Linked DNA regions of Tribolium castaneum. The protein of the gene in region 1 interacts with the protein of each later gene in a biochemical or structural test. Links are inferred from orthologs where the notes say so. Each region holds a gene or a part of one and is shown in the gene's direction. Other genes may lie near its edges. The genes, in order: nuclear pore glycoprotein p62 and sxc.

Region 1 (4,101 bases):
GGCATGTCCACACCAAATCAGCTTTGGTGTGGAAGCAACTTAACGAAGAAATGGAAACTCATATTTTAAAGCCCTATATTTATATTATAATAACTGTAATATTTTTTAAATAAAATACCACTTTCCCCAAATAATTGTTTATTCACTCCTAACACCACGACGGGACAAGCAAGAGTGCCCGTTCGTCATTCTCCTACTTGCTTCCCCCTACCTCACTCAGCCTTTTCTATATAGGTACAGTACTTAATACACTACAATAACAAATTAGTTCGGTTATAGTGAATATATGAACTTCACTTTTAACGTTCGAAATTTAGACAAAAAAGTGGTCTAGGACTCGGTTATAAGTTATAAGTTATAACGTACGCACATGCACTTACAGCACTTACATGCACTTACAGCGACATTCCAGCAGGCACATAAACAGACCAAGTAATTAGAAATCTTTAAATTTAGGATACGAAACTAAAAATTATTGAATTGTTAGATAACTATTAAACATAGATGAATGTAGATAAATATGCTTTTCTAATAAATTAAATTAATACTTTATTTCGTGTATCTGTTTCACGTTTAGAATTCAGTTGACTTGAAAACTATTCTATAAACGACGATGTTCGGATAAAACAAACGATCGGGTATAATACATAACAAACAAATTCTGAAGTCCCTTGAGTGTTCGTTATAACCGAGTTCCACTGTAACTCACCAATTTAGGGTGGAGTTTAAATGAGAGCGATTTGAGACACTGTAGATCTTCCCCTTTTCAAATTGTTTAATTTGATTCGTAAGCATCTTAATAATCTTAATATATTAATCTCTTAATAGTCTGAGAAAAACTACCAACTAAAATAGTAATGACAAAAATTTAAATTATCCTTCGTCCTATATTTTTTTGAAAGGCGGTCTATAGGGTTTAAGATATAAAAATTAAAAAGTTATAGAAGATTAAAATTTCTCACAAAAAAGTTTGCGGAATCATCTTTAATGGTTTGAATGTTTGAGTGATGGAAAATAATTTGCACTTTAAAACAATTTAAACTTATTATTAAAGATAAAAATTTGGCTTTTCGGATCTTTTTAGAGAAAATTTAATTCTCTCCACTTTTTTTGTTTTTTTTTTGTTTTTTTTATACAATTTTGACTTTACTTACGGGTAACAAAAATAAAGATAAAACCTTCTGTTATAAAAAAGTGGAATATGGAAGCTTATGACACTAGAAACGCCAACGGACACTTATGATTATAATTTGAAACTTAATTTTCCTCCTTCCTAAATTTTATGAGGCCATGGTTAAAAAATCCATCTTTCCCTCAATCGCCACTAGTGCCGCCACCATCGTTTTAAAATTTAACGTCAAGCTAACCTATAAATTTTGTGAAGCTACTTGAAGCTAACTAATTTTCTGAAAATGTCTTTCAATTTCGGTGCCCCTAAAACGGCTACAGGTTTCACATTACCTACCACTAGCACAATTGCCAGTACGTAAGACATTTTGCTAACCAAAACGCAACTAACCCTTTTATTACACAGCCACCACAGCTACGGGCGGTGCAGGCGATACCAAACAGCAAACCCCTAACAAACCACTAACAAATCTATTCGGTACTCCTACGACCAGTACCGGGTTTTTCCTGGGTACAACCCCCAAAACAACAGCGTCAGTAAGTTTCGGCTTAACAACAACAAGCGCAACCTCAACTCCCAGCTTTACAATAACTCGTTAGTAACCCTTTTTTGTTAAATTTATGTAATAATTAGTCAACTTTAGCTGCGACTTCGACGACTACGCCGCAGTTCAGTCTAGGGACAAGTGCTTCAACCACTACCACCGCTGCCACTTCGTTTACTCCTATTTTGTCCACAGGGACATCCCTATCTTCAGGTTTAAAAAAATTAGGGTTTTGTAGTCTTTACACGATTTAAATTTAGGTTTTTCGTTGGCAAGCAGCGCTGCAACTTCCGCACCTTTGAAACTAACCACAACCCTAACCCCTTCAAGCACAACAACAACATCAGCCTCTGGTTTAGGCCTAGGGGGGCTTACAGCTACTACACAGTATGTACTCTAATTATAAATACTTTTAACCCGCGCAAATGCGTGTCACAGTTTATAATAACATATATCAAGAGTACTGTGAAAGTTTAGTTAAAGTATGTCTTGACTAGTATTTTATTAAGGGTACTAATAAAAAGATTATTAATAAATTCGATTTTGATCATATAATACGAGTGCGAACACACTAGGTTAAAGTTCGAGGGCTGTCGTTATACAACGAGCATATGCGAGTTGCATACTTAGACATTATTATTTTTACTGTGCGTTTAATTCGTACCGTTTTATTATTGTATGTCGAATTTATCAAATTTTGAACCATATCTTGCGTAAAATATTGATTAAAATATTTGAAATCTTTTTTTTTAACAAACTTAAAATCAGCGTTGACAATGCTCCACCTGGTTCCTGATTTGTATTATATTGTAGTTTTGATATTTCATTAAATATAAGAGTTTATGAACATACGTCCGGGAAATTTTTACAGCACTTTTGATATGTTTCGTATAATTTTTAAGAGCGCCAGCTGTGACCACCACAACAGCAGCAAGTCTGCCAACTTCTGGTACCTTAACCTATGCTCAGCTAGAGGACTGTATCAACAAATGGACTATAGACTTGGAAGAACAAGGAAAATTCTTCATTAATCAAACAAAACAGCTGAACGCTTGGGATAACCTGTTGGTTTCAAACACTGATAAAATATTGGCCTTGAATGAAACAATTGAGCGTGTGAAACAGCAGCAGAAACAACTAGACCAAGAGCTTGATTTCGTATTAGCTCAAGATAATGAATTAGATGAGTTGAGTCTTCCTCTAGAGAAACAATTAACTGATATTCCAGTCACGGATCAGAATAGATTCCAAACGTAATTGTTTATTACAGTAAAATATTCGACATTCTGTGGGTGTTTTAGGTATCAATTGTCTGAAATAATTGACTCCCAATTGAAGCAAATGTCCGAGGATTTGAAAGAAATTGTGGAACATTTGAACGAGTCTAACAAAAATGAAGATATTACTGATCCGGTTTGTGTCAACAAATGTTGTCAAGACTGCTCTGCCTACTTCACAGCACTCTTGGCCACATTTTTGTTTCGACTCACTATCCTATCATGTGTGTATGTTGTAGGTCATTCAAGTCAGTCGCATTCTAAATGCCCACATGAATTCGCTCCAGTGGATTGATAGAAACTCGTCTCAGATTTGCTCTCATTTGGAACAGATTACACAGTTACATGAGACTTACAAGAAAAACGTTTTTATTAAAATTTCCTCTATACAATAACGCCTTGTACAAATTTCTCATATCAAACAATAAATCTAACAAGATATTGCACTTAGTCGCTTTTTGAATGTCTGTGGCTTTTTGTTTCTTCCTCTGGGGGGCTTCCTTCATTCCCCTTGACTGTAAATGTGACGTAGTATCGCTTGTTCTGATCCAGACGATCCGCAGGCAGTGATATGACTTGTTTGTCGTTTCCGTGGCACAGTTCGAGTGTCACGGCCTTTTTCGTATTAATTGTTGGCAGAAAACCTGTGCCGGGTTTGCACTGCGTTGACGTAAACCCGATTTTGGGGATAGTGTGGTGATCCATTTTGGGAACTACAAAAATATGAGTAAACTTGCAACAAAGCTTTTTGATTAAAAAAATAAAGAATTTGTAATTTCATACTTTTGCTCGTTTTGAAATTCCAAAGTTTTTGATAAATAACGTATTAATTGATTGACGCCCGATTTCTTGAACGGTTTATCGATAGATAATCTGTACCTGCGAGTTAAAGAAGTGTAAGTCCATTTTTTACGAAAATGATATAATGCGTAATTTTAAATATTTAGCAACCACTTAAACTGAAAATGTCCTCAAAATGTTAATATGAAGGACTACCTTTACTAAATCAAAGTTACAATTAACAGTATAGTATATTTCAGAAAAATTAAATTTCCTGTTTATCCTGAAAGTGTTAAAAAATGTTCTAAGCAAAAAAACTTTATACAAGAACGGACAAAATACATTTTGCTCGACAGTAACAATGGGTTTCC
Region 2 (3,830 bases), on another chromosome or scaffold:
AATTTTGACCAAATATGGTGTTTTTTCGTTTTAGTTTAATAAAAATAGAAAGGAAAACCTAATGTTTCAATTTTTATTTTTATTTAGTTTCTCAATTTTTCATTTTCAGGCGGTATGAACTACTTTTGTACCTGATTTTGACAATGATAATTAAAAAAAATCGGATAATGCATATGGTTATACTGTAGCTCAAAAACTAGTAATCACACAGAAATCAGGCAATCAGGGCTTGATATTAAAACACTTCATACTTTTCTCGGTTCATGTGAATTTTTTTGGAATTTCTGTACAATTTTCTATCATTAAAATCCATTATGTTACTTATTGTTTCTTAAAATACTTAAAATAACTGGCGCTATTCTGAAAAAACAATTAAAATAAGTACTGAAGATTTCATCTAACTTTTCTTAAAAATAAATGTTTTATTATGAAAATAAAGACCTAATCTATTTTTCTGAATTTTAAATTTTAATATCGAAAATCGTTAAAGTCTGATACATAATTCAAAACTGACAAACATGTGTCACATTTTGCATTTTGTCGTTTCTCTGATTTTGTGTAACATGAACTAATACTTTTTGTGATTATCTTTTTCTTTTAATTAATGATGGGTTTTCATCGTTCAAAATTTGTTACTTGTAATTACACAGATTTTTTAAAAAATTTTTAAAAAGTCTTTTTTGTGATCTATTCCTTTTTATAAATGTACAAATGCCATTTTGACGTTGTTTAAAGGTTTGAAACGGCTGTTCTCTTAGCTCTTCTAATCAGTTTTTTCAAATAGTAAAGAGAAACCAAGAAAAGCAGTAAATACAGAAAGCTACGGATCAAAAATCTGTACAAGTTTTCTCTAATCTTGTCATAGATAAAAGTCGCAGTAAATAATATTTCAAGTAGTAAACATTTTAATATCATATCGTGTTAAACTTCTTGCTAAGTTTCTTATAAATTTTTTGTTTTAAAATTTGAGGAAACAACCTGTATTTACGTAATAAATAGATCATAAAAAATTAAATAATTCAAAGTTTTAAAGCGAGTCAAAACTTCTAAGTAAGTATATCAAGTTAGTTGATGTTTATAACTTATAAGTTATAACAGAAGAAGAAATGTACTCTTGCTGCCAACGGTATGAACGTTGGTTTTTTGTTCAGTCTTATCTGATGCTGAAGTTAACGAATAAAATGGAATTGCTAAAGTTTCCTGCTGCTTTGTTCATATTTAGTTTAACAATTGTTTAAAGTGGCTTCGTGGATAAGAATTTTTTGCGATTTTGTAAGCTATGTATTAAGGAATGTGAATAATTTTTGGAATATTTTAATACAGTACATTAAACTTGGGACATACTTTTCATCACTTTCGTGTTGTAGAAAGTAAATTCATTATTCACAATATGAATTAAAAATTGGTTGCTTCAGAGTTCGTAATTTTGAGTATTCAATGGCCAAGTTAAATAATTTTGTAGTAGTTATTTTTAAACCGAACTTGTTTACATAGTTTTATAACTTCACGTCTCTGTCATTTTGTAGTAAATTACATTGCAGCAGGAAACAGTTTTACTTAGAAAACGTTTTCGATTCCAGTAATTTGGGCAACGTGTACAAAGAAAGAAGTCAGCTGCAAGAAGCACTCGATAATTATCGACATGCAGTGCGTCTTAAACCAGATTTTATTGATGGATACATCAACTTAGCTGCAGCTCTTGTTGCTGCAGGAGATATGGAGCAAGCAGTTCAAGCATACATTACCGCATTGCAGTACAATCCAGTAAGTACATAATACATTCCAAGCGATATTTGCCTAAATTGTGCATATTATTCTCTCCTCACAGGATCTCTACTGTGTTCGTAGCGATTTGGGTAACCTCCTAAAAGCATTAGGTCGTTTAGACGAGGCCAAGGTATGTTCAATTATCATCATGATGTGTTTTATTTATTTCAGAATACTATTTCCATCTACTCCAATTTATTTCAATCTCCAAAATTAAAAAATTGAGTAAAATACAAATTTTACAAGGCATAATATAAAAAACCCAGGCTGATATTTTCCCAAGTGCGCATTGCGTAGAGTTTCACCTTGTGCGTCTTACTAATGTGTTAAATTTTTACACCAAGAGTGAAAAATTAGCACATAGCATTTGCGTAATTCCATTTGAAACACACCGTTTTATGAGTAGTTTTGGCTACTAGCGATTTTTCTGGCCTGAGATGAATGCGTTATCAGTGCAAGCTTGCGAAGATTTTTTTTAATTATGTTTTTATCACACTTGAACAGTTTGTTACTTTTGACGCAGTCATTTTATTTTTCTCTAAATTCTGAGACAGTTATTAGTTTTGAAGGTAAAAATCGTCAATTGTTTATTTAAAAACTAATAACTGTCGAATTTTCAGGTGCCCTGCGTAGATTTTTTTCAGTTGTTCTTCCTATTTTTTCTTTTGTTTATTCAGTCATTGTAACAGAAAATATCAGCCTAAAACAAAATATAAAAAATGGATATGAATTATAAAAAGTAAAGCAGCTTATCTGTAGATACTGCAATCATTTCAATTGAACAACAACCTATTATTAGTCACTTCCACGCAATTATTTTTAATTAAAGTTCAGTTTCATTTTTTAAAGTCATGAATGTTTTATTTTTAGGTAATTATTAAATTCCAATACAGTTTAATCTACAGATTTTTCGTTTATATATTTCTCCAGATATATGTAAATTTGAAATGTGTTGTAATACCCTGTATAATTTAACTGTACAGAATGTCTCTTCTGAGTTTTTTTCAGTCAATATCTTTGTTATTAATAATCAGCAAAATACATGTTGTTAATTCAAATAGCCAACGGTTTTAACGAAAAAATACAAAAATACCTTTTTTTTTAATTGTAAATACTACAGTTTTATTTACAGAGATATTTTTATTGAAACAAAAAGGTAAGTCAAAATGTATGTAAAAAAGTGTTACAAAGATCATTGCTAGTTCAAGAATTTTAAACAAGAAGTGGCTGTTTTTTTGTAAGCTGGACAATATTTCATCTCGTGACAATTTTATAAAATTAGGAGAACTCGCGTTTTTTACTCAGAAACGTAATTATTTCGTGAAATTTGTCAAAGTCGAAAAATCACTAAACTAGAACTAATATGGTGTATTTATTGTATTTTGCGAACTATTTAGCACACTTTTCGCCTGAAATATAATTGTTTAGCGAAACTGGATCACCTGAGAAACCTGAATTTGTATATTTTTTTTTTAGAAAAGAACAGAGCTAAAAAATTGGTTAAGCTCTAATTATTACGAGAAATTTTGTTAAAAATAAGCTCAATTGTGTCGGAAATTGTGTAATTTTGACTTTTTTTGAGTCGAATACTTTATTTATTTTGCGATTAAACTTGTTTTGTGCTAAAATTTTGGGTCTTTTGCTAGATTTTGTTAATATGTGACGTGAAATCGACTAAAATGGCGATTTTTGGGCGTTTTACAAAGTATTTCACTCAGAAGTGTAATTAATTCGAGAAATTTCTTAAAAATAAATCGAAAAAAGCACTAAATATGGTCTAGTTTTAACCTTGTTTGAGCATTTAAGCATATTTTTATCCTGAAAACTTGGGAGGTAATTGTTTAACGTATATTATAAAAAATATAATTGAAAAATGGTTGCATTGGGACTATTTTTTAAAATGCTTTACCGCTGAATACCTTTTTAAGAAAAAACATTTACGTGAAATTTTAAACACAGAATTGAGTTTAAACACAGAGAAGCTCAATAATTCCGGCAATTTCATTAAAAAATGCAAGTTTTGTGGCAAATAGTGCCATTGTCTTCTCTTTGTTTTGAGCTAG

What was found.
Region 2: of the proteins of nuclear pore glycoprotein p62 (region 1) and sxc, one has a biochemical effect on the other in vitro, tested with the Homo sapiens proteins (2 studies listed by BioGRID). The link is inferred for Tribolium castaneum from reciprocal best matches to the Homo sapiens genes NUP62 and OGT.

Annotation. Positions count from the first base shown.
Region 1 is NC_087396.1:18,040,555-18,044,655, reverse strand, and holds nuclear pore glycoprotein p62, read left to right. Parts: upstream 1-1,310; 5' UTR 1,311-1,412; coding exon 1,413-1,482; intron 1,483-1,534; coding exon 1,535-1,723; intron 1,724-1,772; coding exon 1,773-1,886; intron 1,887-1,933; coding exon 1,934-2,060; intron 2,061-2,575; coding exon 2,576-2,926; intron 2,927-2,974; coding exon 2,975-3,086; intron 3,087-3,189; coding exon 3,190-3,345; 3' UTR 3,346-3,397; downstream 3,398-4,101. Other genes in the region: ankyrin repeat domain-containing protein 12, read right to left, coding at 3,398-3,663. UniProt on the Homo sapiens protein: Essential component of the nuclear pore complex. The N-terminal is probably involved in nucleocytoplasmic transport.
Region 2 is NC_087394.1:6,428,642-6,432,471, reverse strand, and holds part of sxc (UDP-N-acetylglucosamine--peptide N-acetylglucosaminyltransferase 110 kDa subunit), read left to right. Parts: intron 1-1,580; coding exon 1,581-1,764; intron 1,765-1,828; coding exon 1,829-1,897; intron 1,898-3,830. UniProt on the Homo sapiens protein: Catalyzes the transfer of a single N-acetylglucosamine from UDP-GlcNAc to a serine or threonine residue in cytoplasmic and nuclear proteins resulting in their modification with a beta-linked N-acetylglucosamine (O-GlcNAc).